4 linked regions of the Lonchura striata genome follow. The protein of the gene in region 1 interacts with the protein of each later gene in a pairwise test. Links are inferred from orthologs where the notes say so. Each region holds a gene or a part of one and is shown on either strand. Other genes may lie near its edges.

Region 1 (7,125 bases):
ATAAATGGGCAGCTGAAAGGATGAAGAAATCCTAACAGCAGACACCACACATCAGCCAAACTGAAGGAAATCCCTTCACCCTTTCCCCCCAAAAATACAACATCCTTCAGAACTTTTATATCATTTTTCCTACATGATTAAAATCAGATAATTAACTATGTGAGTTTGACACTTGCTCTAGATGGCAACTTGGTAGCTGGATAAAACCTTAACATCAGCCTGCATTAGACTTCAGCAAAAAGAGTGCCATTAAAGGGAGCCTGACTTCCCTGCCCACAGCTTCCCAAAATAAATCTCAACCTGTGAGGAACATCAGTGCTGTAATACTATCAGAGCCTGGTGCAGATACTACAAGCATTACCAGCCCTGTCCATCACCAGATTGGGAATAGGTTGTTTTGCTGGCCACGAGAGGGAGTCCACAGGCTCTCATTCACATCCTATCACAATTCTTCCGCTCAAGTGAGGAAAATTTGAATTGTTTCTTGCCTTTCATTCATTAGCTGTGCACCCTTGGGGGAACAGCTTCCCAAGAACTAGAAAAGACACAGGTTAAACTGTAGAGCATTCCTGTAACAGAGGAGATAAATGCTGGCACTTCCATGTGTGGGGTTTTTGTTTAATTCACATACATTCTAAGCAGGCTGGGGGGAGAAAAGTGTGCTTAGCTGTTATCATACAGTTTTAAGCAAACAGCTTAGAACTACTCATAGAATGAGCCAGATACTTTCCTAGTGGTAGTAAGTGAATATAAACCATTAAAGGAAATCACCCCTGTTTCCAAATCGGCAGCACATACCCCAAAACAGTGTTCCCTCAACCCCTAATTAGTAGGAAATTGGAACACATGAAAATGCCCTACAATGTTCATTACCTCACCATCTTAAAATATTTGAGCTTTAACAGCTAAAGAAACTACATAATGCAAAGTATTTTAACACAGACTGATTTCTGGTATTTCTTGATTTAGGGTCCTTGGAAACCAACTGATAAACAAGACTAGGCACCTTTTGACACTAGTTCTGCAGCTTTATCCTGGTCAGAAACTGAATTAATAAAGCTGAAGCTAGTAAGGCATTGCTTTCAGTAAACAGCCCCCACCAGCATGGGCTGAGCATTGCTCTAAAAAGCAGAACAGAAATTGAAGCTGAATTCAGTTACTACACAAGAGGACTTGGACAAGACTGAAAGAGAATAGAGTCCACTTTTTCAGCAGGGGAGCTTTAAAAACGGCTCTTCTCTTTCACTTAGCAGTTAGTTAACTACCTAGGTCTCAATAGCAGTATACTTCACACCCTCAAAAGTTAAGGGCACATCATTTTTAGGAAGTTAGAGAGATTTAAAAAGCTTTGCCAAGAAGTTTTGCCAGTTCTGAAGTACGTGGTTTATTGTTGATGTCTACTTAAAATAAGCCAGAGCTCTACTATGTCAACAGAACAGAGCCACAATGATAATTTTTTTTCTTTAAAAAACAACCTACTAAAAAGCCAACAGCTCTGAATTCCTCAAGAAAGATAACACAGTCAGCAGCAGTAAACTATCTCACCCGTTCCACACTTCAGGCCGTTTGCTGCAAAGTATCTTAACAGCTTTTCACAAATCAATGACCACCTGTTCCCACAGCTTGCCATGGGAAAAATCACTTACAACTACGGACTCTTCCCAAAGGCATTTTTCAGCAGTGGTACCAAAACCCCAAACAAGATGTGAATTCCTAAACCCTACAGTATATCAAACTCAGTACTAGAACAATCTTTCTTTACTTGCAAGTTATTTGGCTCTTCTTCTTCCACTCACACATATATTTAGGCATCATAATTAAACAAAAGCACCTGTGAACACTAAGCATTGATTAGAGTCACAACTGTTTAAGCTTCCAGCAATCAAAAATGAGCAATTCTAAGGTTACAAAAGGCACCCAGCAAACATATGAGAGATCCTGATAACATCTAGAGTGCTACACCTTTCTATGAAATGGCACCTACTGCAAGAAAACAGTTTTGGTCAACTTCTCAAAAGAACACTGCTGAAAACAGAACTATGAAGAAGTACTTGAGAAAGCTGGTAGAACAACATACTTCAGTCTCTACAATAATCTCTCAGCACAAGCTATGGGGTGCTCAGATACTAAGATAAAGTGGTGGGAATCAAATGCGCATCGAGGACAAGATTGCACAACTGCATCACATTTAATAAGCTGTTCGTTTGATGCCACCGTGTAAACCCTAATGCAGGCAAAGGCTTTCCAGCTTTCACCTCACTGCTTCCCTCCACCTCCCACTCTACTCCTGTGACGGAGACCTACACACACAACTCAGAGATGAAAGGAGAGTGAGCTGACCTTTGTGTAACGATGTGGGTATTTAGTTGTAATTCTGTTCAGCTCCAGGAAAGCATCGCCATTTTCAGTTTCTGTTGCACCTCCTCTTTTATCCATGGTTACTTCAAAGCCTTTGACCGCGGAGCTAATTAAAACAAAACCAACCCGTCAGATTTCAAGACGTACCTTTCTAGAGGGTGCATTTTCCTTCCAGCCTGACTCAGATTAACACTTGGGCACAGGAAAGTAGAGCCGCGCTCCCCAGCAGCGCCCGTCCCCTCCCAACCCTGCCCCTTCCCCCGGCCCAGCCAGGCGGCTCCCGCTGAAGGCTCCGAGCCGCTCGGGCAGCGCGGCCAGCCCTACCCCGCGCTCCAGCGGCTGCGGCACAAGGAACACCGGAATATCGGAAAATCGGTCTGCGGGCACGGCCGGGGCGCGCGGCCGCCGGGACCCGCAGCCCCGCACCCCGCGGGGCCCTGAGGGGTTGGGCGCCGCTCGGGCAGCTCGGCCCAGGCGCCGTCCCGAGGCACCGGAGCCGCGGGGGGGAACGGCGGCAGCGGGGCAGGTGACTCAGCGGATCCCCGCCCGGCCGCACTCACCGGCGGGTGTCCCGCGCCGCTCCGCTCCGCTCAAGGCCTCACCGCCGCCCGCGGCGCTTCCTGCTCCGGCCGCCGGCCCCACTTCTCCCCCGCCCGCCCCCACTGAGGGGCCGCACGCGCCCCGGGCCGGCGCCGCCGCCGCCGCCGCCCCCCCAGCCCCGGCCGCCCCGCGCAGCCCCGCGCGCCGCCGCCGCTCCCGCTCCGCCCGGCGCCGCCTCCGCTCAGCCGCCGTAGCCGGGGCCTCGCGCCGCCCGCTCCGCACCCATTTAACGCCCCGCGCGCAGGCGCGTCGGGCGCGCGCGCCGGGGCTCCCCCGCCCTCCGCCTGCCCGCGAATGGGCGGCGGGAGGCGCTGAGGGCGGCCGGGCTGCGCTCCCGCCCTGCGTCCCCGCCGCCGGCCGCCCGCGGAAACGGCGTCTCAGCCTGCGAGCGGTGCGGTGGGTGAGGAGAGACGCGCGGCTCGCCGAGGGCCTGCAGGCAGTCTGGGCGGGCAGCCCTGCGGGGGAGGCGGCCACCGGCGGGATGCGGTGCGCGCCATGTGCGGGGTGGCGGCGGGACCGGCGCGTCCCTGTCCCGGGCTGTGCCCGTGTCCCCGTGTCCCCGTGCCCGGCTTGCCTCGGGGGCAGCGCGGGGTCAGAGAAGCGCGGGAAGCGGCGGGGTGGTGGCGGCTGAGATGGGCCGGGAGGGCGCTCGGCGGGCGCTCCCCTCGCCCCGCGCGCTCGCCGCGCTCACGGGCGGGCTCGGGGACGCTGCCCGGGAGCGCCTCCGCGTCCCGCCGAGCGCGGCCCGGCTCCCGCGGGTGGCGGGGGCGGTGCGGCTGAGCCCGCCGCCCAGCCCGGCAGTGTGGGCACAGGGTGTTCTCAACCCGGCCCGGGCTCCTGTCACGTTGGAGTCTGCCATCCCTGTGGGATAGCAGGACTAGATTGGTGCAGTGAGCGCAGCAGCTTATTCGGAGGCACCGGAAAAGTCTTTCAGTTTTTGCTAATAAAGAGCAGACATTGTTTTCAACATCAGTTTAAGGAATTTACTGAGCGAGATCGCCTGCTCCGTTTGTCCACAGCTCTGTCCCCGGCACTTGCATTCATTCTGCCGCAGGAACCCAGCGGGGCCACAGTTTCCAAACACCTTGGGCAGTGAGGTCTGTGTAGGAGCAACGAATTTCATGTAGGATCTGGTGAATAAGGTATTCTCTTCCCTGATCTGTAATGAAGTTGAATACTATAATTAAAATCTGGTTACCTATGGAATGAGAGAAATATATGAGAAATAAATTTCTTGTTTTTTTCATGACAAAGTGCTCCATTATTAATGAGACAGGACTATTGCCAAGTCTTCTGAAGCTAACAAGTGCTTTCCAAACAAATACACAAGAAGACTCCATGGCAACCAGTGGGCCACCAGCCTCGAGCTGAGTGGTTGTTACGAGATGCTGTAGGCTTTGAGAAGGCCTGAACTATGTTGTGTTTCACTGTCACCTTTGTGCACGTCGCTATTTTGGGCTAAAACAGCTTTTTTGGCTCCCAAAGACACATCTGCCACAGGCGCGTGTTACTTGATGCCCACAGCAGATATATCCAGTGGTGCAGAAGTGGCAGAACACAGTTTTTTCCCAAGTGCAGCAACACCTCCCTGCCGCGCCGTTCGGCCCGTTTCCCTGCGCGGGCCGGTCCGTGCTCGTGGTCGGTAAATGCCGGTCACACCGGGCCCGCCCCGCCGCACGGGGGCGCTGCCCGCCCTCCCGCCCCGCCGCACGGGGGCGCTGCCCGCCCGCCCGCCCCGCCGCACGGGGGCGCTGCCCGCCCCGCCCCGCCGCACGGGGGCGCTGCCCGCCCCGCCCCGCCGCACGGGGGCGCTACCCGCCCGCCCCGCCCCGCCGCACGGGGGCGCTGCCCGCCCGCCCGCCCGCCCCGCCGCACGGGGGCGCTCACTCAGGGGCGGGCCGGGAGCTCCTGCCCCTCATGGCGGGGCCGCCTCAGGCGCTGCTGCCCTTCCCTCCGCTTCTCTCCCGTTTGCTGTGGATTTCACCGCTGCTTTCCGCCCATCTCCTGTGCCGGTGCCGTTTCCCCAGTCCCGGGTTCTGTGGCGCCCGTCAGCGGGGGGGGGCGGCTGCCGCCGTCCCTCACGGCGGGGTTGTGGAGCAGCGTCCTGTGGGTCTCCAAGTGTTTGTACAGGGTTCAGGGTATAGATACCTGCTGGAAGGAATCTCATGTAGTAAAACTCCAGAAAAATCTTGTAGGGTTCTGTTTGGTTTTGGTTTTAAGCCTTTTTTGTTTAGTTTCGGTGCTTTTTAGGTTTTTTTGGGAGGGGGGAGGGGTTGGATTTTGGTTTTTTTTGGGGGGGGGCAGAGGGTTCTATCACACAGTAACTAATGCTTATAGAAAAATCCACTCTGGATCTCACACTTAAAAGGAGATGCCTGGCCGTAATTCCAGGTGCTTCCACAGAATTGACTCTTCCCAGGACCTTTGGAAGCCACAGGATTCCATGCATGGAGAAGTTCTCGTTGGAGCTACCTTCATTTCTAAGTGCTTGTGAAGGAGAGGAGCATAGTATTTTAAAAAAGAAACCAACAGGTGAAAAGGAATCAGCTGCTGATGGTGTCACCCTTGGTTATGTATTTATTTTTAAGTAGAGGCACATAACTTGGAGTAGTTTACTTTTTACAGCACCTTTCTAGCACAGTTTTGTTTAGGTGGGCAGAATTGCTGTCTTAGGATTCATATGGTTATAACTTTATCACCATTACATCAAGCCAGCACAGTGTTGCTAAGTGAGACAAACAGAGGATTTTCATGTTAAACATCTGGAATTGCATGATGCTGTTTGAGTGCAGCATAAGTCTGAGTGGAAACATGTCATTTTTATGATACAGACTGCATTTAGCATAGATCCATGTGATGGATTCATCACAAGTAACAGGCACCAATTCATGCTTTGTCCAAAGTTACTAAACAACATTGCAGAGCAGAGAGTGCATTTGTACTGTAGGCTTAGAACCACAGTGAAATGGGGAAATTCAGGAGCAGGTAAGCAGTAATAAGAAACTACTTTGTTAAAGACCTCAGCTGTAATTTACTTTATGTTTACAACATCTTAAGATTTCCATGGGACAGAAGAAGGTTGACTGATTCTCACAGAAGGGCTTATTAGTCTCTATGGAACTTTGTTAGCCAGAAAATGTTGCTCTTAAAATCAAAGTAAAAAACTATGAACACCTAACCCCCAAACTGATAATGAAACACAACTTTATGTGAGTTTACATTATCTCAACATTTACTTATAAAAGTGATGTTCTTGAGCTTGAGATACTATACTGGAACATAAGGTATTTGGACACAGCTGTTTGTCCAGCCACAGATTTACTCCATGTTCTCTTCTTCCCATGCTTTCCGTTTCTGACTTTAAAAGGAATAAATGATCCTTTGACTCTTATTTTTCATGGTCACTTGCCATAAATTTTGGGGGACATAGGCTGTAATCATTAAATATATGCAGCACATAACAGTGTTCCAAATACAGAAATAAAAGTACATATGTTGGAAAATTATATAGATACTCTTACACCTTAGACTTTCATACAAAACTTCACAGGTTGGATTTTTTTCAATTCCTTTGTATAATGTCACTGCATATGGTCAGGCCAGGTTTGTCTTTGGGGCAGATGAAATAGTTTTAAAGGGAGCTGGGTCTAATAGGTGTGTACAAGAACTTGTGCTGAAAACTGTTTTGCATCAGTTTTAAAGTGCCTGAAACTCCTTCAAACATGCATAAAGTTGCCTTAGAGTTGCCTTAATTGCACATCTTGATGTGAACAGAGCCTGCTGTCTGCTGGACAGGGCCTACCCCTTTCAGAAAACATTCAGATAATATTTTATAGAACAAGAATTTCTCACACAAAATATAGGTCTTGTTTTCTTCCATTAACTTTTTTTTTTAACTCTTTTGCAGCCTACTGGAATAAACAAAAAATACTGTATTTCCTCCCAGTGATTTGTTGTTAATAGTGGTTATTCCGTGGAACTTTTGAAACTTGCATTGTTCCAGTCACTTTGTGAAAACAACTTTTTTTTCTGGCTGCAGCCATGTTTTCCCTAGTTCAGTTCAGGAGTTCATTGGGGTGAGATTTCAGATTATCCTCTTCTGTTGGCTCTTCTGGAACTGAAGAATGTGTTTGTGTTTCTAATGTGCAAATTTTCAGGGTGGTGGCA
Region 2 (7,538 bases), on another chromosome or scaffold:
AACAGGTTTTAAACGTCAAGAAACGAAGACTACTGCAAGAAAATAAACAGCTTCTAAACTCAAGTTTAACCTCGATTACAGAATAGTTCAAAACTGAAAGACAATTTATCCGAAGAAAAAGTCACATTAATTCACATTTAAAGTTTGCGTTTCTCTTTCACAATGGAGGCACTCTACCAACATCCCTGATTTAATGCTCCACTCTATCACCTCAAAATTCAAACTAATCTTTACAAAGCTGCCAAAAGGGATATTTTTCATCAAAAAATTTTGCATGTACCTCCATACCTGCAGACAGCATCAGTAAATGAAACACACCTTGATTTCATATGCCATTTTTATGCATGTCTTTGAAATAAGTTGTGCAACATACCCCTCTTAGAGGAAGCTCCATAATAACTCAGATATGTTATTTACAATTCAAAAGCTTATGATAAATATTCTCAATTATAAAACAGCATGAAAGGTACATCTATTCTGCATCATTTCAGAAAAATGCAATGAGCAAGCAACTGTGTTCACAATACTGCAGTTCAATGCTATACTAACTTCAAGCAGATCAGGTCACTGACTTCTACAGCAGAAACACCTAGCAACAAGAGCAAGTCTGAAGTTGAATTAAAATTACATGCTACCTGTCTACAGATAATGCAAAATAAGTACCTTTCAGCCTACATGGAATTTTAGGAGCTATTATGAGCTTTCCAGCATTTTAAGGTCCTGCACCACTATGTTTGTAACCCCTTGAGATAGTAGTTTCATTTAAATAAAGTTTTGATTCTCACCTATGTATGATTACCTTCTCAAACAAGTGCTTTTCAAATTACAGATAACTGAAATGTCACTGTTGTATGCTAAAAAATAGAGTTAAATTCACAAGAATTGTAATTATAACTGCCATTAATCAAAAACGCAAAAGAGCCATGATGCCATTTCCAATTTGCACAATGAGGGATTAGATTTATATGCACCTAGAAGTTACAGGCTTTGTGCAGGTACATTTTAAAGTCACCTTTGGTAAATTGTTTACTAAAGCATTACTCCTCGTTTTGTCATGGACTTTTGCATGGTGTTCTCTGATCACATTTAATCCTCAAAGGCTATATAAGCACTCTAACAGTGCTTATAACAGCACTCTAACAGGTGATACTTCTGCATAGTCTCAAAAATTAATCTAGAATATTTTTAAAAGAAAAACCTAGATATCACAAGAAAAACAGAATTTTTACTTGTCAGTGTTGCAAAGGTTTAAGTTCTCCCTGCAGCAGAGAAGTAAACCACTGTGCAATTGGTCTGTATTTATACAGAATAATTTTGCTTTTTTGACAACTATTATGGGACTCACTACAGAATTCTCAACTTAAGTTTCTGTATTTAAGTCAAACATTTTCCCAGCCTCTTAAGACTTTCAATGTATGCTACTTTTGAAACTATGACAGTACAAGAAACACCACTGATCTTAGTAGAAGCCTGTATTCATAAAACCAAAACCAACCCTTACTCAGTTGTATTTTCATTTCATTCTCCTACCAGGAAAGCATTACAGATGACATCTCTACAAACCAAGGTCCAGATTTTGCAGGTGAGCAACAGAAAGGCCTCCCTGTGATCCAGAGGTAGTCCCTGACCACACATGCAATTAAATTGTTCAGCTACAAAGCACGCAGTATTTCTGCAACACCTCTGACCTCAGTCACTACACACGCCTAACTTTAGGCTTAGGCGAGAGAAGGGAGCCACTTACAAGGACAATAACAAAGACTTTGTTATTTACTGCAATTTGAAAATAAGCACGCACAGTTGGTTGGTAGCTGACTCCTGAATGCGAACATACTGCACCTACAGCAAAACATTCAATAACCGCATTAATTACTTAAATTGTTGTGAGTTTTGCTCCATCTTCTACTTTTAGGGGCTCAGCACAACTGCTCATACTGAACTGGATCTGAGCAATCAATCTTGCTGGGACACAGCACGGCAAAAGCAATCGTTTACTTTCTGCTACATTAGGCCAGGATCTACCCCAATGTGCTGATGGAGTTAGTGGAGAAAATGGTGTAAAGACAGTTTTTGTGCGAGCAGCACAGCTAAGAAAGCCGCAAGGTGCAGGCCTTTAGAGTAATTTCATTTTCTAATGGCTGTATTACAAGTTATTTATCACAATTCCTACTAAGCTTCACAGTCACCACAAGGCACTGCACCGAGAGGAAGCCCTCATCTTCAGATAAGTGGGCAACAACTCAAAGACTGGCTCCGGGATGTGAAAACAAGTGTTTAACACTGGCTGAAGAACACCGGAAGGGTGCTGCTGGTGGTCTGTCTTGCAGTCTTAATAACTGACACTCTCCTTGTACAGAACTGCTGCCACACAATTTATAAATGCTAACCCACTTCAATCTCTTCCTCATGGATAAAAATCTGAGGTTTGTTTCACACAAGAAAACCATTAAGCGAAAAATCAAAAATGGCAAAATTAGTTTTTATTTAAAACCACTGATTTCAAACTTTTTTCACTTTGTCTAAATGATACAAAGCCTCCCCAAACAGCACACTGGCTATTTATTCAAAGCTGGCGAGCACAGCAACAAGAGACCAGCCCTCCTTAACTGTGTTTTCTTGAAACCCTAACAGAGTCGTCGGCTGTCCTCTCCTCATGATACACAATCATGTGGGATTAGAATAACAACTGTACTTGGATCACTTCCAGCTGCTCCAGCTCATTATGGAAGTGCAGGCTGGGGCTACGTTTGTTAAGACCGAGCATAATATACCATGAACATAACTTATCACCTGGAAAAAACAAAAAGAAGTACTGAATTATCATGAATATCATGAAAGATCTGGAAAAAAAAAAATCCTCTCGAATAAAAGACGACACAACCTGGGAAAAGCGATTGGTTTGCTGACTCTCACCACCGGGCTGTGGCGGCGGCTGCCCCAGCAGCGCATCTGTGCCTTGCCGGCCCGCGCTCGCTCCCCGCGGCGCCTCTCCGGGGCCCGGCGTGCCGGGAACGCGGCCCTTCCTCACGGCCGGAGGAGCCGCCCCTCGCCGCCCGGCCCGCCGCGGCGGCGGGAACCAACATGGCCACCCCCACCGCGCCACATGCGCCGGGCGGCCGCCGGGGCCGCGGGCGGGGCGCCGCACAATGGGCGCCGCCGGACCGCGGGCCGCGCTGCCGCCGGACCCCACCGGAGCCGCGGCCGCCGCGCTCGGGCGGCGGTGCCGGCACAGCCACGGCGCCCGCCGCCCCCTCCCCGGCCCCTGCGAGCGTGCGCTCCTCGCCGGCCTCCCCGGCCAGCCGACTCCTGCCCGACCGCCCGGCCGGGCCCCCACCGCGCCCCCGCCCGCCGCGGCCGGCGGAGCGGCGCCTCGACGAGGAGGAAGAAGATAAGGATGCCGTAGGAGGAAGGCAAGGTAAAGGCGGGCGGGAGAAGTGAACGCGGCACTCACCGGCTCCACCGCCGCCATCTTAGAGCGCTCGGATCGCGGACGCACCGCGGGGCGGGGCGGGGCGGGGCGGGTAAAGGCCCCGGGCCGCACGCGATTGGTCACGAGCGCCCGGCGGCCGTTGGGGGCGCGCTGCCAGCCGGGAGATGTAGTCACCCAGCGCGGGGACCGCCGGGAACCCCCTATTGCCGCCCGGGCAGGAAGAGGCGGGCCGGCGCGGGGGCGCCCTCTGGCGGCCGCTGTGGGAGCAGCAGCGCGCGCCCGCCGCTCTGAGCGCACGGCGCGGCCGCAGGCGCCAGAGCCCCCCCGTGCCCCCGGCACAGCGCTCTGTGCCCCCTGTCCCCGGAACAAAATCAGAGAATATTTAGATTGGAAAAGAGCTTTAAGAACATTGAGTCCAAGTGTTAACCCAGCACTTCAAAGCCCAGCTCGAAACCATGTCCATAAACATCACATCCACACATATTTCTGAACATTGTCCGGAACGGCGATTCCACCACTCCCCGGGGCAGCCTGTTAAACCAAATAATGAATCCCAGCCGTGGGATTCATTTCAGTGCTGTGATTTCATTAGTACTTACCAAAGGCAAAGGGTTCAATAAAGAAAAACACAATAAATATATAAGTAAGTTCTTACCCTTTTGTAATGCTTCTTGATGAAACAAATACCGTAACAGTTTTCAAAGTAAAAGAACTGGGGCATATCTTTATCCCAGTGACAAAACAGAAATTGAAAAACAAAATATTTCTTCCTAAACGGTATAATTTTAAATCACATTATGATGGCAAAACAAGAACATAATCTCTGAAATTTGTACATTCAGAAAGTACATGAAGAAGCAGGGGTTTTTTTACTGTTTTTTTTTTTTTTTTTGTGTTGTTGTTTTTTTTTTGTTTGTTCTTTTTTCCCAGCATATATATCTATATCTATAGATATGGATATAGATATAGTTCATTTTACCTATTCTGCAAAATTTGATTTCTGGTAATTCTTTATAGACGGTTTGATGCAAAACAGTAATTAATAAATCTTCCTATTTATTTGCCTACTATGCTGCCATATGGATCTTATATTCCACTTTACTTGCTTGGCAGACATGTACATTCTTTGACTACCTGTTCTAATCCTGCTTTTAAGGTTCTTAACATAAATAATCAATCCAAAATCATCTTCTTCCCTGATAGTTTATTTTCATCTTTTTCTGTGTTTAACTTTGTATTTTTATTCTCAAACAGCAAAGTGTACAGACACACATTTTACAGCCTTGAACATCATTTTACTGAGAAGATCTATAAGTGCGTATTAACCACCAAATTGTATTGAATGTCATATAGCATTTGGCTATTTCATTTCTCTCATGCAAGGCAAGGAGAACAGCATGAAGCCCTCTATAAGTCAGCTATGCTTTTTAACAGTTCTTAATTAGCTAGGTGAATATAGCACAGCTGAGCTCAGAACATGGCCTACCTCATTGCCACACAAATGGGAAGCAAGCACGTGTTGTGGTTTGGGATATGCTTTCCTTTGATTTGTTGAGTTTTGGAGGCAAAAAGCCTCTAAAGATTATATCAGAAGTTATCCAACAACTTACAGTAGCAAAGATACGATATAACACACATAGTAGACCAGATGCTCAGAAGTGATGTGGCTGCCTTGCAAGTGGTATAATCTTCAAACTAAAAGGTGATTTAAGATGGAAGGCAAAGAGGTATCACAGATATAGCCAGAAAATCCCACCTTTTGAAGTCATAGTGGAGCAAAGAAGGGGCTGAAGTAAAGAAATGCTGAGTATCTCGTCTTCAGCAGTCCTTCAGGGATTTATCAGTTTCCAGTGTGAATCTAGCTAGTGCTGGGAACATCTCCAATGTGCATCTCCAAGTCAGAGGTGTGTAGGTATGAGCTCGAATTGATCTGCACACTTATATCTCAGTGATTTGAATGAAATAATACTTTTGAATACTGTTGTATGTGATTAAAAAGCTGATAATCTAAATTTAATTTTGAAACCTGAAAATAAAAATAATTTTTAATGTCACACAGTATTGTCCATGGTATCTAAAGTGGAAATAAAACACTGATTTTATTTTACTACTGTTAAGTCTATTTTATGGCCCTTTGATGACACAAACTAAACTAAATCTCTTTGGATATCAATAACATTCCTGTTGAATTCAGTTTAATTCTTTGGGCCAGAACTTCACTCCATGACTTCTACTTTTTCTGTAGCAACGAATAAAATTGTTCTAATCTCCAGACATATTCGTGGATTCTTTCAAATATTTCCAGCAGTAGAGTTTTTCCCTTTAAGGCTTGCAACTTACTGGTTAAATAGGAATGCTTTTTATAAAAACACCTTTTTTTTTTTTTTTTTTTTTTTACAAAAATGCAGCTTGTTTCCCTTTGATCTTGTCCCATGATAAAACAATCAGTTTCATATCCATACATTGGAAATTGCTAAAATTTTTGGATACCAGAAGAGTGTTCTTGAATGCACAGAGAGCCATTCTTACATCACAGTGCAAATTTGATACCCTGTATTAAATACAGACTCTGCAAGAGGCATAAACTTGAACAATCAAATCAAAACAAAACAAAAGAATGCAGGATCTTCCTTTTCACCACAACTAAAGCTTGCTTGGAATTAGCTTTGAGTAAGGCTGCTCCAGCCTGGATTGTGGCTGGAGTGGGCCTTTCAGTAGTTTAGTTTGTATCTGTACCAATGGAGGGGATAAAAGTGATGCAGGGGCTTAAAATACATTGCAACCTCTTTTGACTTCAGAGAATTGGACAGAACTTGAAATCCCGCATGATTTTTCCTTAAAGAGAAAAAAATGGAGGCATGTATTTCTTTAGTGCAACTCTGTTCATACACAAAAGATGTTTACAATGATTTTCCCCCCTATGCTCTTAGTATTTTGCTTTGAGCACAGGTTTGTCTTTTCCTCTGGGTAATGCTTCCTATAGGGCTGTTTTCCATTCACTTTTTGAGGTAGTGCTTTTGTGGCCATCTTTGAGGTGCTTGTGATGGGTTTGCGATTTCTGTTTTTGGCAGACAGACATGCACAACCTACATAACTGTTGCATTTGGTATGAGAAACTCACTAAGTGCCTGTACCATCTGGACAAGCCACAGCAGGGCACATTTGCATGTGGTCTGGCTCCTGGGTGGCATTTTTGCATTGTTTCAGCCCTCCCTAGACAAAGAGGCATTTAATTGTGTCTTCGATGAGCCTGAACAGGAGACAGCTACCAAGAGCTTCATTGGGAAAGGGAGACTGCCCAGCCCCCACTGCTGCAATGTAGAGAAGCAAAGCAAGGAGGGGGGACCCATGCTAAGGTGCTCTCTTAATTAAGTAATGTCAAATTCAGTGGCCATTTTCTCCCTAAGCAGCAGCTGTCTCAGCTGCCAGCTGCTCTCGCTTTTCTGCGGCTGCTCTCTGACCCATGAGACATGGCTGACCTCCCCTTTTGCCCTCTTTGCTGCCCTCACATACTCCCAGCCTTGCATCACTTTGGAGGAGTTGGGAGGACAGCAGTGGACACAAATCAAGCATCATGAATGGGCTATAAAATATGTGACTCACGCCCCTCTCTGTGCGTTGGTCTGTAACACAGGGGGACAGGCAGCCAGAAAGGGATGTGAAAAGCCTGACAGAAAAAACACCTCTGCTCAGGTAAGGTAATAGCAAAGGTCAGTGAACTTCCCTGGTGAGAATGAGTGTGCCACCAGATAATGGGAAATGGCAGTGGATAGACCTCCAGGATGCAGGAGTCAGTTCACTTTGTAAATAAGAACATCAAGGCCAAATTGGAAAACAAAAACATTGAAATACCACAGAAACCACATAATTTTTTTATATGGGGAGATGACGTAGGGCTGTTTAAAAACCATTTCAACAGCAAACCCTAGGCCAAATCTTTCAGGGTTTGTTATTCTAGTCTGATCTGCCATTGCAGTCTGTGTTTCTTTCAAAGACTGCAGAGGACAAGTACACATGTTTGCGAATTCCTCAATTAGGGGGCTTGCTGTTCTTTAAATTACACATATATTTAAATTGTTTAATTAATACATGCATCTTTGGCTGTTCT
Region 3 (6,906 bases), on another chromosome or scaffold:
AGCACCATGCAAAAACCCAAGACCGCCTGTCCAGGACACGCTCAAGTTTATTCCAGGAACAAGTAACCACAGAGTGGAGGAAGAAAGGAAGAGCAATATGCCTTTTAATGAACTTGACTGCAACATCAAACGGCACCTTGTCCATCACTTCCAGAGAGACAACAGGTCACCAGCTGTTGGTAAATACAGCGTGCCAGATGTTTATTCCAAACACAGCTTTTGTGATGGGAATGTGGGTGAAGTGCGTGAGGGACAGCACAGAAATGGAACAGAAAAGCTGTTCCTTTCTTCTCATGCTCCAGCCATAAATAAATGACATGGCTACTCTTTTTTTTTTTTTTTTTTCTCATTATACCACAGAGGTCTAGCACAGGGCAGAGGAGAAGTGCTAAACGCACATCTCCTGCTGCAATTCAAGAGCTCATTTGCCTTGGCAAACCAGGAGCAGGGCCTGTGCGTGCACAGAGGCAGCACGGGGGGAGCAGGGCACAGGGCAGGGGGAGCGGGGCACGGGGAGCAGGGCACGGGGCACGGGGAGCAGGGCACGGGGAGCAGGGCACGGGGCAGGGGGAGTGGGGCACGGGGAGCAGGGCACGGGGCACGGGGAGCAGGGCACGGGGAGCAGGGCACGGGGAGCAGGGCACGGGGCAGGGGGAGTGGGGCACGGGGAGCAGGGCACGGGGCACGGGGAGCAGGGCACGGGGAGCAGGGCACGGGGAGCAGGGCACGGGGCACGGGGAGCAGGGCACGGGGCAGGGGGAGTGGGGCACGGGGAGCAGGGCACGGGGCACGGGGAGCAGGCTGTGCCCAGCGGAGGGGCTGGCAGGGGGTACTCACGGAGGCAAAGGTGCCAATCTGTTTGATGTTCTGCTCGTAGCTCTGCGAGCTGGTGGGCCGCCCGGGGGTGCGCCGCGAGTACCAGAAGGTGTAGTTGTACTGCAAGGGGTGCTCAGCTGGCCCCGGCACCACAGCCTGCAGGACACAAAAGCTTGTTTACCCCTCGCATGCTCCTCTAAAAAGGGAAAAATTGCATTTACAGCATATAAAAGCAACCATTCGAGCCATCAGAGGTATCGTGGATGAATTCTTTTTAGTCCTGTGCCTGTCTCAAAGGGAAAAAAAAAAAACAACTAAAAAGGAAATGTGAGACCTTGAACTTTTTCAAATTAAGGGAAAAAAAAAAAGACACTTTCCTCCTCTGGGAATGATAAACCCCACTTACAATGAATCATGATTCAAATGCAATTAAACTCTTTGATGACACCAATTGCCTGAAGGAACCAACACCCCAGTGCTCTGGGAAGATTAACCTAAGAACTTGTTATGTCAGCTTTGGCAGAACCCATCACCAGCAGCGGGCAGCAATCACTTTTTAATTTCCAAAACACTGATTTCTGATTAAAAATACTTCTAATGAGCACAAAAGAGGCTAATGAGAGCTCATCAGCCAGGAGTCAAAACTTACAAAGAATACCCCAATCAAAGCTCTTATTTGTACTACTTGATATTGTTACAGGAGTTCGCAGGGCTTAAATCTCTACTTTCCTCTTGACTTCGGCAAGTTTACAAGGGTTGCATTACTTCAGACAGAGAAATTTTCCTGAACAAGATATAAAAATAAACCAAACCAGGGGAGATATATACACAATGCTTTCTTCACCAGGCTACCTTACACACAGGGACACATCTTAAAAGGTGTTTCAAGAGTGTCACAAACACTGCCTGCTAAACCACCTTCAAGGTACTACTGTCCTGTCAGACATGAGTCCTTTCCCCACATCCTCTTCAAAATTTGTTTTTGGATGAAAATAAAGCCTCATTACTCATTTCCATTAAAAAGCCTGACAGGGTACCACTATGTTAGTGATGGGAGCACTCACCCCTCAGATGAGAGACCTCCAAAAGTGACATCAAATTACCAAAATCAAACGTAGTGCTGCTGTCTTCACTGCAGCAGTAGCAACGTACTGATATCACAGCCCCCCAAGACATATTTTCCCTTATCCCTGAGCTGAGCATTGACTCCCCAGCACTCCCATACCATGCCCTGGCAGTGGAGTGCAGATGCCAGCACCATACCTTCCTCTTGGTAGTACTCTGTGGTTTCTCACGATCGTTCTTTTCCTTCTCACTGTCTTTCTGTGTGTTATTTTCCTCATTCTGGTCATGGTCTCCACTATCATCATCTTTCAATCTGGTAAAGAAAAATAACAAAGAGAGCCATCACACAGCTGAGAAGGTCCATACCAAGCCCAGGTAGTTCTCTGCTCCAAAGCTCCTCCGTGGTACAAGGGCCACCACAGTTTGGATATCTACACTTGACAACGTACACAGTAAAAACTACTTCTTCTTTCATGCCCATCACAGGCATCTTGGGCAAGCACTTTTAAGCTGACGTGAACAACGAAACAGCTTTTTGGAACAAACTCAAGTGGTTTGTGCTGGATACTGATCTGCCACAGGAAACCCCGGTTACTTGTTCAAGTTCCCTGCTATTCAGGGGGCCCACACGAAGACCTCTCACCGTACCTCTGCCGAGTCTTACCCACCCCGCTCCCCACGGCCCCCAGCACTGCACAGGCAGCGCCTCGGACGAGCAGACACCGCGCCAGCACCCAGCACCCCACAGATCTCTCCGCCCGCCCCATTCCCTGCCAAGGGCCGGAAAAAAGCGAGACAAGCAGAGCCACAAAGCGGTCCGCAACTCCGCGGTGCAGGCCTGCCAGCGGCCCACCGCCCACACCTCCCGGTCCCGCGTCCCCTCGGGGCCAGGCCGGGCCCCGGCTGCAGGTTCGGGGCTGTGCGCAGCCCCGTGACTCATCGCGTCTCGCCCGCCCGACGCCGGGGCAGCGGCGGGAGGCGCCGGCGGGGCTCGGGGCGGTGCAGGGCCCGCACCGGGGGCCGCTCGGGGGGCTCGGGGGCGACACTCACGCGTCGAATTTGTTGTTCATCGTCGCTCGCTGCCGCCGCCACCCCCGTCCGCCTCAGCGACTTCCGCCCTGCTGAGTCCGCCCGCGAAACTCTTCCGCCGCTTCCGGCGGCTCCGCCACCACCGCCCGCGTTTCCCCCCGGAGCCGTAACGCGGCGCACGGCGGGCGGGGGCGGGAGCGCCCCTCAGGGCGCGGCCGCCATCTTGGGTGTGGCGTGAGGGGCGGGCTGGGGAGAGAGTTCAACTTATCCGTGCAATTAATTGTGCTCCCGTAAATACAGTTTGAGGACTCAGACAGTTACTCTTCTAAGAATTTTCCCACCTTGCCTCCTGTGGCAACAGGAAACCCCAGCTCGACTCCCTCCCCATTGATGTTTCCTTCATGTGCAGTGAGGGATGGCACAGAAAATGGGAAAAAGTCCCAGTAATGAGTCTGCAAGCTCCTGAAGTGATAATAGACAGTTCATAGCGGATAAAGGCAATAGTCCCTCTTTCAGCATCTCCTTGCACTTCACGAATCTGTTCCCACGTTACTCCGAGTACAGAATTTTCACAGTGCTTTGCAAATCTCTGAAATTTGCAAATTTCTGCTATCTGGCAGAGTTAGTAAATAGAGTTCTGAGTGCTGTAGCTTCTGTTTCTATATCAATTTGTGATGTGGAAAGAGTAAAAATTCATTGCCTATGTAATCTAGGTACTCATGCTAAGCAAGCAAAGGAACAACCCCGTATTATATCCACAGTATTATAACTTGGTGTAACTCAGTCTACTTAAAACTTATTTATGCTGAACAACTAATATCTCTCATAAGTCTGTGGATCAGGAGCATTAAAAAAAAATGGTATGTATAACCATATGTAAAGCACTGCATATCCTCTATCCTATAGTGTGTTAGTGTATTAATTCTTGTAAAGCAATGTAACACTGCTATTCCTGCCTTACTATCTGAAAGCAAAGGCAATGAGTGTCTCAGCAATATTCCTGAAATCCCAGGAGTATGGCAGGACAGGGAAAGGGCCCCCCAAGCCCTAGGCTAAATATTCTTACCATGGGCCTTCCCATCCGGTTGTCTTAAGGGCTCAGACGTGTGTTCATAACCTTAGAAGTCACGGAAGATTATTTAGAAATATTTAGTAGCAGAAACAGTTCAAACACTCATACAGAATTTCCTGGTTGGTAACAAAAGGGATCCCCAAATGGGATCTGTGTGCTCTGAAGACCAGCAGTTTACCAAAATATTTCAGAAATAATGTGTTACACAAATCGCTATGGAGACCTGTTCATAAAGAGATCCTTTTCATAAAAATTGCCAAGATATCAATCACTCTCTTAAAATTGCCCAATACAAGTGCCAAGTAATTATTACAGGGTGAGAAACAGGGTCACACTCTGTTATTTCCTACCTAATAGCTTATTTAGAAATTATTAGGCACTCCTAAAGAGCACCAAAGGATACAGTAATTACAGTTATCAAACTTAAAACAGAAAGAACACCACTAAACCCCACAGAAGTGAAGGCTTCACACTGATCAAAACCCCCAGCTTGGATTCTGATCTTCCCGCAAAACCACATAGGTCTTATTGGGAAGATGACCTACATCAGGTTGGATAGGGATTTAAAGTATTCCGCTAATACAATAAATTGCATATACATTCCTGAAATTTCTGTGGGTTTTATGTTTCATTTGTACCAGTTTAAAGGAAACCAAAGTTTATTATATTAATACTTTTATACACTGACCTAGCTTGAAATCCTGTATGGAAAAATGGTAAAAGTAACATCTCTGCAACAAGAGAGGCAAACTCAGTACAGATTTGTTCATATTATAGCACATAGATAACATCCAGCATCCTATGCCCAGTGAAGAGTTCCTCATGAGCTGTTCAAACTCACCTTTGGGTAGTTTTGCAGCCTGGGAAAAAATGTAAACATAGGTGTGATGCCTGACTTTGGTTTGTCTAAGGGTTGTACCCAAAGCTTAGTGGCATTAAGAGACCTCGGTGACAGGGAAGCCTTGCAGTGTGGTGTACTGGGTCCCCACAAACCCTGGGTTCACTCATGCTGCTGTAACACACAGTCTCTTGGTAAAGCTGCTTTTGCATATGGCAGGGCTGTTCAGTCCTTATATACAATTCCACAGGATGGGCAAATGACAGCATCTGACACCTCTCGGAGTCATTCTGAATTTAAAAAAAAAGGGCTAATAATGAGCATTCAAGAATTGTTGATGTGCAGACTCTGTGCAGAACTTGAAATTCCTAAGCCATCTTACAGTGGAGGATCAGGGTAGCTGAATCATGAGCCATGAGCAAGGACACAACACACGTGCAGCTACACACATTTCCCACCTTGGATTTCCAGCTACACCATCATGAAGTGCTCAGCATAAAGTGAAGGTGGTGTCTGAGCCCGCTCTGAAGAGATCTGTGGTCACTGCACTCCGAATGTAGAGAGCGTGCCATCCTCTGCCTGCAGATAGGAGACAGGCAGTGAGATTTAAGGCATAGCAAATTCCCAGCAACAGATCTGTTTTTCATCACAGGCCCATACAGAGTTGGTGGAGCTGGTAAGGCAGCAGCCTTGTTGTTCTGTTAAAAAATATGATCTTGCTGAAAAGGAAGACAGCGCACAGTAAGTTTTCTTTCAGCCTAGAGTGGAACAGCATCACTCTCTTTATGTTTTAGGTTGAATTCAAAGAAAGAAATAGCTCAGCCATCTCTCAGGAAAAAAAGGAGGAGAGGAAGCAGGAGTGCTGCTGGAAATACTTTAACTAGAAGCATTTGAAATATGTAGCATCTGCCTAAGAGACAATTACTTGTTAGCTTTAACATCTCATTCAGGCATGCAGCATTGAAGTCCTGTGGCTGTGCAGTCACCCAGCTCTTCTGGTGGTGCCTGATCTCAGCCTTAGTAAGAGCTCATCGATCCTGCAGGTGTGTCTCTGCCAGCAGCCTTCTCATCAGCAAAGTTCCCGAGGGCCTCAGCAGTGATGGGGAAGTGTCCTGGGGCTGCACCTGGAAATACAAGCAGGGGAATGCCAGGAACATCTTGGCTTCACAGAACACTTACAGGCTGAATGTTCACAGCTGAACTGTGCCTAACCATTGCAACGATCCACAACTGTCACTTGTCTGACTGTAGGAAATGCATGACAACTTAATTATTTTAAAAATTATCTTGCAAGGAAGTGTGTCAAAGATGACCATTATCATACATTTCTCGATTGCCTGCTTTCCACTGGTAGTTCAGTTTCAGTTCTGGCAGATTTAAATTACCTTAAATACAATTTTTCTTAAGTTTTCTAAGTGAAGTCTTTCCCAAATGACCTGTTCCTTCCTAAATTTTAAGTCAACACTTGTCTGTAATTCTCAAAGCCACATTCATGTCAGCTTGTCCTGTTTATTCTGGATGGTTCTTACAGCCCAGTCTAACACAGGAAATCAGGGTTATTAAAAAGCCCTCCAAGGCATAAGGTAAGAGGAAAAACCTGATTCTGGCCCCATGGCAAATTTGATGCTGCATATTATATATGTAAAGTCAGGCTAGTCTCTGTGAAGAGAGCTGTTACAGGACATTCAAGGGTCTGTAGGCAGACTAAGCCAGGAATAGTTGCAGAGGAATCATTATTGAGAAGGAAGAGGAGCACAGCAGTGAGTGCTGGCTGCAACAGAGCTCAGTGTTCATTTTAGAGCTCTTCTTCCTCTCTGTGCCTTGGCAAAGAACAACCACTCCATGCCATAGCTCACTGAGGAATCCTGCCAGGTGTTGATACAATCACAGGGAAGCCCTTGCTCACCTGAGGCCAGGAGATGCCATGGAATTCTGCCATGACCTGGGATCCTTTGAGCAGCCTCTGGCACATGACAGCCTCTGTAGTGAAGCAATATCCAAAAAGCACATCCATTTGATGGCAGAAGGGAGTGGAACACAAAGAAACATGACTACAAACAAAGCAAGCTGAAAATTAACTTCTTTT
Region 4 (7,789 bases), on another chromosome or scaffold:
GGGAATCAGCCCAGCACATGGTGGGGGCTTCTGGCTCTCGACCTCTCATCCATCAGCAGCTCCAAGTCCTTCTCCCAGGGCTGTGCACAGGAGCTGATCTGTCAGTCAGTCTTGTTCTTCACCACTGAAGAGCAGGGTCAGACTCGAGTGACACCAAACTGCTCCACTTGCTGCACACTCTGGCACACGTGGTACCTCACCTGCACTCCGAGAGCCTTCCTGGTCCCACTGGACACTCAACTCTTAAAGCTCCAGAGAAAACAGGGGAAATTATGAGTCCCTGATAATAAAACCTCTTGACTTTTGCCAAGTAAAACAGAGTTGTAAGCATGTCTTGTGCTGAGAGAACGAGCTCCAGCTCCTTTTCCAGTTGCAGTCAGTCCGACCTTAGGCATGCAAACTGCTTCTTCTCCACCCCCTTCCTCGCCTCTCATGGTTAAGCCTCTTATCTTATTTATACCTTCAGGCCCCACTTGAATTCCACATAATTCCCCATTTTCTCTTTAAACTGCTACTATAGATCTTGCAAAGGAGAGAGCAGTGAGGAAAACAGGTGAAAACAAGATTTGTCTGAAGATGTTTTAGCAGAACATCTTATAAACTGCCACAGAACTGCCACTTCCTTCTCTTAAATAAATACCAAGGGAAAGCTGTGGGGAAAATATTCAAGGAAAACCAGGAAGTTTGTCTTTAATTTGAGCAATATCAGTGTTTGTTAGAAGTGTGCAGGCTTTTAAGAGCCCACATTTGCCTAAAGAAAGCACCTCGTTGGTTCATAAGGCTCCTGAGTGGACAAGCTCTTCCAAAGTGAGCCTGTATGCCAGATAACATCTTCCAGGATCAGGTAACTAATGAAAGTTTAAAAGGGAAAACCCAGAATGTAAATTCCTAATCTCAGTTGTTGCCAGTGTTTATCTGAAGAAATTCCACTAAATTAAGTCCTTCTTTTTGCCAAGTCTGTAACACTTGACACAAACACCATTCCCTCTCCCAGTGTCTGTTTCCCTGTCCAGTGAGCACTAAGCTGTAACACCACTTTACTTGAACACAGAGGTTTCCTTCAGAACTTCTCGGCATTCACTATGAAACCAAGTATTGTTATGCCAGTTTTATGGACTGGAAAACTGCAGATTTCCAAGATGTTAGAAATTACTTCAAGGAAATATTAGTATCTGAGAATAATTCTGAGACAACCTTTATTGCTGGATGGCTATTTGTTATGAGTAATTTACTCTATTTACTATTGGAGGACTCAGTTGTCACTGATTTTAGGCCAAGTTGGATGGGCTTGCAGCAATCTGGTTTGTGGAAGGTGTCCCTGCTCATGGCAGAGGGTTGGAACAAGATGATCTTTAAGGTCCCTTCCAACCCAAACCATTCCATGATTCTGTGACAATGAATTTTCATATACAAAGCTGGATGCAGCCAGGAATGTTTTCTGTTAAAGATACTCTCCAGGAAGGCTGTAAATTCCTGGTTAAGCCCAAACCAGGCATGAAACAACTCATTTTTGTTTTGGGGGGCATTTTTTTAGCATATCAAAGAAATAAATGGAAGCATCAGTTCTCTGTAGAAGTACCACTTCCTCAAGAGGATATTGGGAGGATTTGGGTTATCAGGTCCTGGACCATTGGATGGGGAAAAGGAGAGGTTGCTTCCTTTTTTAGTATCGGCTGCAGAGGATGAGGATGAGGATGAGACTGCTTCTTCCAGGGAACCTGGGAACAGCTGAGAGTGTGTAATTTCCTGGGGATGATCCTGGAAGCAGTGATGACACCAGTTCTGTGGTGGGATACCAGTTCTCTCATCAGGTTATCAGGTTCCAGACCTGCACTGCCAAGGATTCAGTTCTCCAGGCAACACCAGGAGAGCAGTTTTGGAAGTATCAGAGCTTTGGAAGATGTTCATTGCCAATGAGACTGGTGACTTCAAGGTGTATCTATGTAATAGACAAATTATGTCCAAGACATAATCATATTGGGATGATCTAGGGGATTAATTCATGTGGAGGAATGCTCAAGGTTTGATCAATATTGGTTCTCCTGGGTATATCCATCTTAGGAGGTATCAGGTGAATTTAAGGAACTTGGTTCAGGACAGTATCAGAATCAGTATCAGTTCAGAGAACTTTGGGAAAACTCAGATGGTTCAGAGAAACAGCAGCTTTTCCTGAGGGAATCAGATTTCAAGATTGTAAAGCGAGTTTGGGGATTTCCCCTGGGGTATGTTATGAACTGTGGGGGAATTATTGGATAGATTCAAGGGAATTGAATATCTAAAGGGGTGAGTTTGCAGACAGCAGAATTGGTTTTGGTGTCCAAAGGAACTCCAGGAGAGCTGGAGAGGGACTTCAGACAAGGCGTGGAGGGACAGGACAAGGGGCAATGGCTTCCCACTGCCAACAGGGTAGGGATAGATGGGATATTGGGAAGGATTTGTTCCATGTGAGGGTGTCAAGTCCCTGGCACAGGGTTCCCAGAGAAGCTGTGGCTGCCCCTGGATCACTGGAAGTGTCCAAGGTCAGGTTGGACAGGGCTTGGAGCAACCTGGGATAGTGGAAGGTGTCCCTGCCCATGGCAGGGGGTGGAATGGGATGATCTTTACGGTCTTCTAACCCAAACCATTCTGTGATTCTATGAATATCATTGAGTTTAGGAGTCCCAAGCCTTCTGTGGATTTTGAGCAAAGTCTGAGGGAATACCAGATTCCCAGAGAGCGTCACCAGGGGATACCAGGTACCACCTGAAGCAGGTGCAGGGAGGTGCAGAAGCCCGTTTCTGAGGTCACCCCTCAGGGGGCACACACAAGGCCAGCCCACCTTGATCCGGGAGGCCTCCCGTGGGAAGCGGGCACAGCGGGGGTACAGTGGGCGGGCGCGCTCACCGTGGGGTCCTTGATGGCGCAGCCGGGGAGGAAGGGCAGCCCAGGCCCGGGCCCGATCGGGGGCCCTGTCCCTGTCCCCGGCCGTATCCCCGGCCCCGGCCCCAGCTCCGGCTCCGGCCCCGAGCTCATGGCGGCGGCGGCGGCGGCGCTCCGGGCCCGGCCTGGCCCACGCGTCTCCACGGCAACCGCCCCGCGCCCAGTGCGCATGCGCAGCGCCCTTCGCGCCTCCGCGTCTCCCCGCGCCTGCGCAGTGAGTGCCAAGGGCGCGCGGTCGCCGTGGCAACGGGGAGGGCTCTGAGGGGCCGAACCGCCCCCCCCACCCGTGAGGGGAGTTCGGCCCCGGAGCGGGGAAAAAAGACGTGGAAAGCGTTCATTCTGTTTTATTAGGGAGTTTCCCCTCACAGCCCCTCATAGTCCACTCGTATCCCACTCACAGACTTGCATATCCCCCTCGTGGCCCCTCATAAACCCCTCACATTAAAACATTTTGCGGGTGGTGGCACCTGGACTGCTTCTTTTGGGGGAGTTTTCCCTGCCGTGTGCAGTGTGCAGGGTAACGATCAGCTCTGAAGGGACAAATCCATACCTGGAGAGATTGAAATATTTTAACAGGAGTGATTGTGCCAGTTTATGATGTATATATACATGTATTAAAATGTATATAGTTGTGAAATAGTGTATTTTTCATATGTAGCACTGATGTAATTCCTCTCTTTCAAATGTGATTTTTATCTCTGGAGGAAGGGGCTAAAAGAAGCATCAAGGATACCATCAAGGAAAAGGTGGATGTGCAAAACTTGACTCCTAAATGTAAGAGAGAAAACAGCTAAATCCATCACCATGGGAAACAGAAATTATCTGCTGCATTTAGAAGTTGTGGATTCCCCAAAAGACGTGGATTCCTCACCCCTGGATGCATTCAGAGCCAGGCTGGACAGGATTTGAGAGAAACCTGGTCTAGTGGAAGGTGACCCTGCCCATGGCAAGAGGGTTGGAATGAGATTATTCTGAATGTCCCTTCCAACCCAAACCTTCTGGGATTCCATGAAAAAGAAGGTTTTTGTGCATCTTTGCTTTTTTCTCTTTATCACCACTACACCAGGCAAGCCAGGCTGTGATTCAAGGGCAGGTGGCAGATCCAAGGGTTTTCTAAGCAGAAGTTAAGCGGGGAGAATTGCAGCCAGACTGTCTGCCTAAGCATGGTGTGGGAGAGAGAAAAAAGCCAGACGTGGGAGATAAAGAATGAGGCTGATGAGCTTAGAAAGGAAAATAATGAACTGAAGGCCAAGCAGGGCTTGAAGAGTTGAATCTGGAGGACAGCAAAGCTGTTGGTGTGATGATGGCTGACTTAGACCCAGGAGCAGGACCCTGATCAAGCCCTCTGATTTTTCAAGCTTCAATATCCAGGCAGCATTTAACAGGGAACAGGGCCTGTCTCAGAGAAGGAAATTCACCTATGTGTGCCAAGGATCATCCCCAAGGACAATAACTGCAAATCGGTGACAAGGCTGTGTGGCAGAGTGGCTGGTGCACACCCTGTAAAGATGACAGGCTAGGCATGTTCAGCCTGGAGAAAAAAAGGCTCTGGGAAGTCCTTGGGAGTCCTTTCCAGTGCCTAAAGGGGCTCTGAGAGAGCCAAAAAGGGATTACTTAAAAGGGTATGCAGTGACAGGACAAGGAGCAGTGTTTTTAAACTGCCAGAGTGCAGGTTTAGATGGGACATTGGGAAGGAATTAATCCCTGTGAGGGTGGGGGAGGCCCTGGTACAAGTTGCCCAGACAATCTGTGGCTGCACCATCCCTGCAAATGTCCAAGGCCAGGTTGAGCAACCTGGTTTAATGGAAGGTGTCCCAGCTCATGGCAGGAGTTGGGAATGAGATGGTCTCTAATGGTCCTTCCAACCCAAACCATTCTGAGATTCCACAGAAGAAAGCAAAAGAAAAGCCATAGCATAAGCTGGTGTTTAGGAATTGTGACTGTAAAGTGGGAGAGAGGAGAAATGAGGAATTAAAGTGAAGATCTAGATTAAGCTTTATCCTTGACAACTTCTGTACAGACAAGTCTGACTTGCCAAGGTCAAGATGAGCCTTTTCAGCTTCCCACATCCCTGCTATCTACTCATGAAAGGCAAAAGGAATTATTTATCGAGCTCTGGCAGTGGAGGACACAGATGGAGACAACTCGCCCTCTGGTGGGTGAAGACATAACCTGCAGAAACCTTGGTCTGCGTGGTATATTAAGAAATAATAATTAAAATTACTGGGTTATTGGAAGGAAAAATAGAAGGCATTCTAGAGGTTTTAAGTTCTGAAATACAGATAAAATTGATGAATTATGTATGTGATCACACACAACCCTCCCAGATAAAGTTGATGAGTTCAGGATCTGGAGTGATATGACAGAAAGGGATCAGAAAATCAACAAAACACCATGATGGAGAAATCCCTAAAACTGGGATCCCTAAATCTGGGATGTCAGTGTGCTGGGGTGTCTCTCTGGAGTGTGTGTGGAGAACACCAGCATTGTGAGGACTGGGCATGACCAGGCAAAGATCTGGGTGCATCTGCAGGGCCGTGATCTGGTTGGGATCAGGAAGGTGTGGTGGGATGGCTCCCACGACCCAAGTGTTACAATGGAGGGATACAGACAAGCCAAAAAGGTGAGGAGGAGCTGCCCTTTAGTGAGAGAATAGCTGGAGTGCCTGGAATTCTGTGTGGATGATGAGCCAACGGAGAGCTTATGGGGAAAGGGTTCAAGCGATAACCAGTTTGGGTGAGGTTGTACTGGGCCAGTTGCCTCTTTGCAGGCCCTACTCCTCATGGGGGACTTCAGCCACCTGATACCTGCTGGGAGGACAAGTTAAGAGGATTAAGAGGGATGGAGCATCTCCCCTTAGAGGAAATGCCAAGAGAATTGGGATTGCTCATCCTGGAGAAGAGAAGGCTTTGGGGTAACCTAACTGCAGTCTTCCAGTACCTGAAAGAAGCCTAAAGGAAAGATGGAGAGGGACTATTTATAAAAACATGTAGTGACAGGACAAATGGGAATGGCTTCAAAATGAAGCCAGAGAGTAGATTTAGATTGGATATTAGGAAGAAATTATTTAGTATGGAGTTGGTAAGGCCCTGGCACTGGTTGTCTAGGGAGGCTTTGGATGCCTTATCCATGGAAACATTCAAGGTCAAGCTGGATGGAGCCCTGAGAAATCTGGTTTAGTGGAAGGTGTCCCTCACCATGGCAGGGGGTTGGAATGAGTTGATCTTTAAGGTCTCTTCCAACCCAAACCCTTCTATGATTCTGTGATTCCCAGCCCAGGAGGTTTCTAGAATGGATGCTGGTAACTCCCTCCTCCAAGTGAGGGAGGAGCCGACAAGGAAAGGTGCTTTGCTGGACATCAGACTCACCAGCCATGGTCTGCTGGAAATGTGGGGGTCAAAAGTAGAGCTGGCTGGCATAGTTCAGGATCCTGAAGGAAGGGAGGAGGGTGAACATCAAACACTAGACTCCACACTCTGGCCTCTTCAAAGGACTCTATCTGCTTGGTAGAGTGCCTTGGGATAAGAAGGCCTGGGAAGAATCATCTCCAAGCTCAAGAACAGTCCATTCCAATGAGCAGGAAGCTGGGCAGAAATGCCAGTAGGCCTGCATGGATAAACAGGGAGCTCCTGGAAAAACTCAAAACACAGAAGTAGTAGAGAGAAGGTGAAAACAAGGATACAGATGGAAAAGAATACAGACATTATCTGAATGTGCAGGCATGAGGAAAGGCAAAGTCCAACTGGAATCTGATCAGGAATATTAAAGACAACCAGAAGGGTGTCTATAGGGTGACAAAAAGGAGAGTAGGGCAAATGTTGTGAGGGCAAATGTTGTGGGCCCATTGCTCAGTAAGATAGAGCTGGCTACAGAGAAGATGGAAAAGCCTTCTTCACCTCAGTGTTTACCAGCAAGATCAGCCTTCAGGAATCCCTGGTCCCTGAGAGCAGGGGGAAGGGCTGGAGCAAGGAATCTGTACCTTGGTGGAAGAGGATCAGGTCAGCCAATATTTAAAGGATTTTATAGGTGTATATAAATCCCTGAAGGGAGGGTGAAAAGTGGACTGAGCAAGGCTCTGTGTTGGGTCCCAGGACCAGAGGGCACAGGCACACATTGGAATACAGGAGATTCCTCTGAACATCAGGAAACACATTTTTAAAGTGAGGGTGGCTGAGCACTGGCACAGGTTGCCCAGAGAAGTGATCACCATCTTTTTGGAGATATTCAGAATTCATCTGGACATGGACCTGGGCAACCAGCTCTGAGTGGCCCTGCTTGAGCTGAGGGTTGGACCATATGGCCCCCAGAAATCTTTTCCAAACTCAACCCTTCTGTGATTGTGGATGATGAACTAAAATTTCTCTAACCAGTGTCAGGGCAGCTGGTCTGCACTTCCCTTGTGGAAAGGGAATGAAATCCAATAGGTTTCATGAAACCTTGTGAGTGCTTTGAGATTCAGAGATAAAACCACACTTTATTGTTCATTTTGTTATCTCTCTATAATTATCATCCCTGTTTTTTTCTAATTACTCATAACCTTCTGTAGTTGTTCAGTTGTGCATTTGGGAATTTCACACCACACCAATTGTTTTTTCATAGATTTCTTTTTTTCCGCTAAAGTTTTTAAATAAAGATCAGTACAGTACAAAGCTTAAAATATTGTCAATGTTTTCAATAATACAAAGTCAGCAGGTGGGAGCTGGGAAGGGGCTGGTTAATAAGGAACACTCATATCCTTCCCTGTTTCCCAAAGGAAAAATAATACAAACTCTTTTGTACTTCTGTTTAGTAAGAACAGCGCTTAAAAATAATCTTGTCAGTAAAAGATGTAAATTGCAAGGCACATGAGGAACCTGTCCTTGCCTCGTTA

The links.
Region 2: the proteins of EIF4ENIF1 (region 1) and EIF4E interact in binary tests that used the Homo sapiens proteins (3 or more experiments, as listed by UniProt). The link is inferred for Lonchura striata from reciprocal best matches to the Homo sapiens genes EIF4ENIF1 and EIF4E.
Region 3: the proteins of EIF4ENIF1 (region 1) and EIF4E2 interact in binary tests that used the Homo sapiens proteins (3 or more experiments, as listed by UniProt). The two-hybrid records come from large-scale screens. The link is inferred for Lonchura striata from reciprocal best matches to the Homo sapiens genes EIF4ENIF1 and EIF4E2.
Region 4: the proteins of EIF4ENIF1 (region 1) and EFHC1 interact in binary tests that used the Homo sapiens proteins (3 or more experiments, as listed by UniProt). The two-hybrid records come from large-scale screens. The link is inferred for Lonchura striata from reciprocal best matches to the Homo sapiens genes EIF4ENIF1 and EFHC1.

Annotation. Positions count from the first base shown.
Region 1 is NC_134620.1:4,471,795-4,478,919, reverse strand, and holds the start of EIF4ENIF1 (eukaryotic translation initiation factor 4E transporter), read right to left. Parts: upstream 3,016-7,125; 5' UTR 2,919-3,015; intron 2,575-2,918; exon of another isoform or gene 2,465-2,574; 5' UTR 2,437-2,464; coding exon 2,341-2,436; intron 1-2,340. UniProt on the Homo sapiens protein: EIF4E-binding protein that regulates translation and stability of mRNAs in processing bodies (P-bodies). Plays a key role in P-bodies to coordinate the storage of translationally inactive mRNAs in the cytoplasm and prevent their degradation.
Region 2 is NC_134606.1:49,885,925-49,893,462, reverse strand, and holds the start of EIF4E (eukaryotic translation initiation factor 4E), read right to left. Parts: upstream 3,021-7,538; 5' UTR 2,834-3,020; coding exon 2,693-2,833; intron 1-2,692. UniProt on the Homo sapiens protein: Acts in the cytoplasm to initiate and regulate protein synthesis and is required in the nucleus for export of a subset of mRNAs from the nucleus to the cytoplasm which promotes processes such as RNA capping, processing and splicing.
Region 3 is NC_134612.1:18,512,806-18,519,711, forward strand, and holds the start of EIF4E2 (eukaryotic translation initiation factor 4E type 2), read right to left. Parts: upstream 3,016-6,906; 5' UTR 2,952-3,015; coding exon 2,932-2,951; intron 2,195-2,931; coding exon 2,080-2,194; intron 973-2,079; coding exon 838-972; intron 1-837. UniProt on the Homo sapiens protein: Recognizes and binds the 7-methylguanosine-containing mRNA cap during an early step in the initiation. Acts as a repressor of translation initiation.
Region 4 is NC_134605.1:110,375,045-110,382,833, reverse strand, and holds the start of EFHC1 (EF-hand domain-containing protein 1), read right to left. Parts: upstream 3,013-7,789; coding exon 2,884-3,012; intron 1-2,883. UniProt on the Homo sapiens protein: Microtubule inner protein (MIP) part of the dynein-decorated doublet microtubules (DMTs) in cilia axoneme, which is required for motile cilia beating.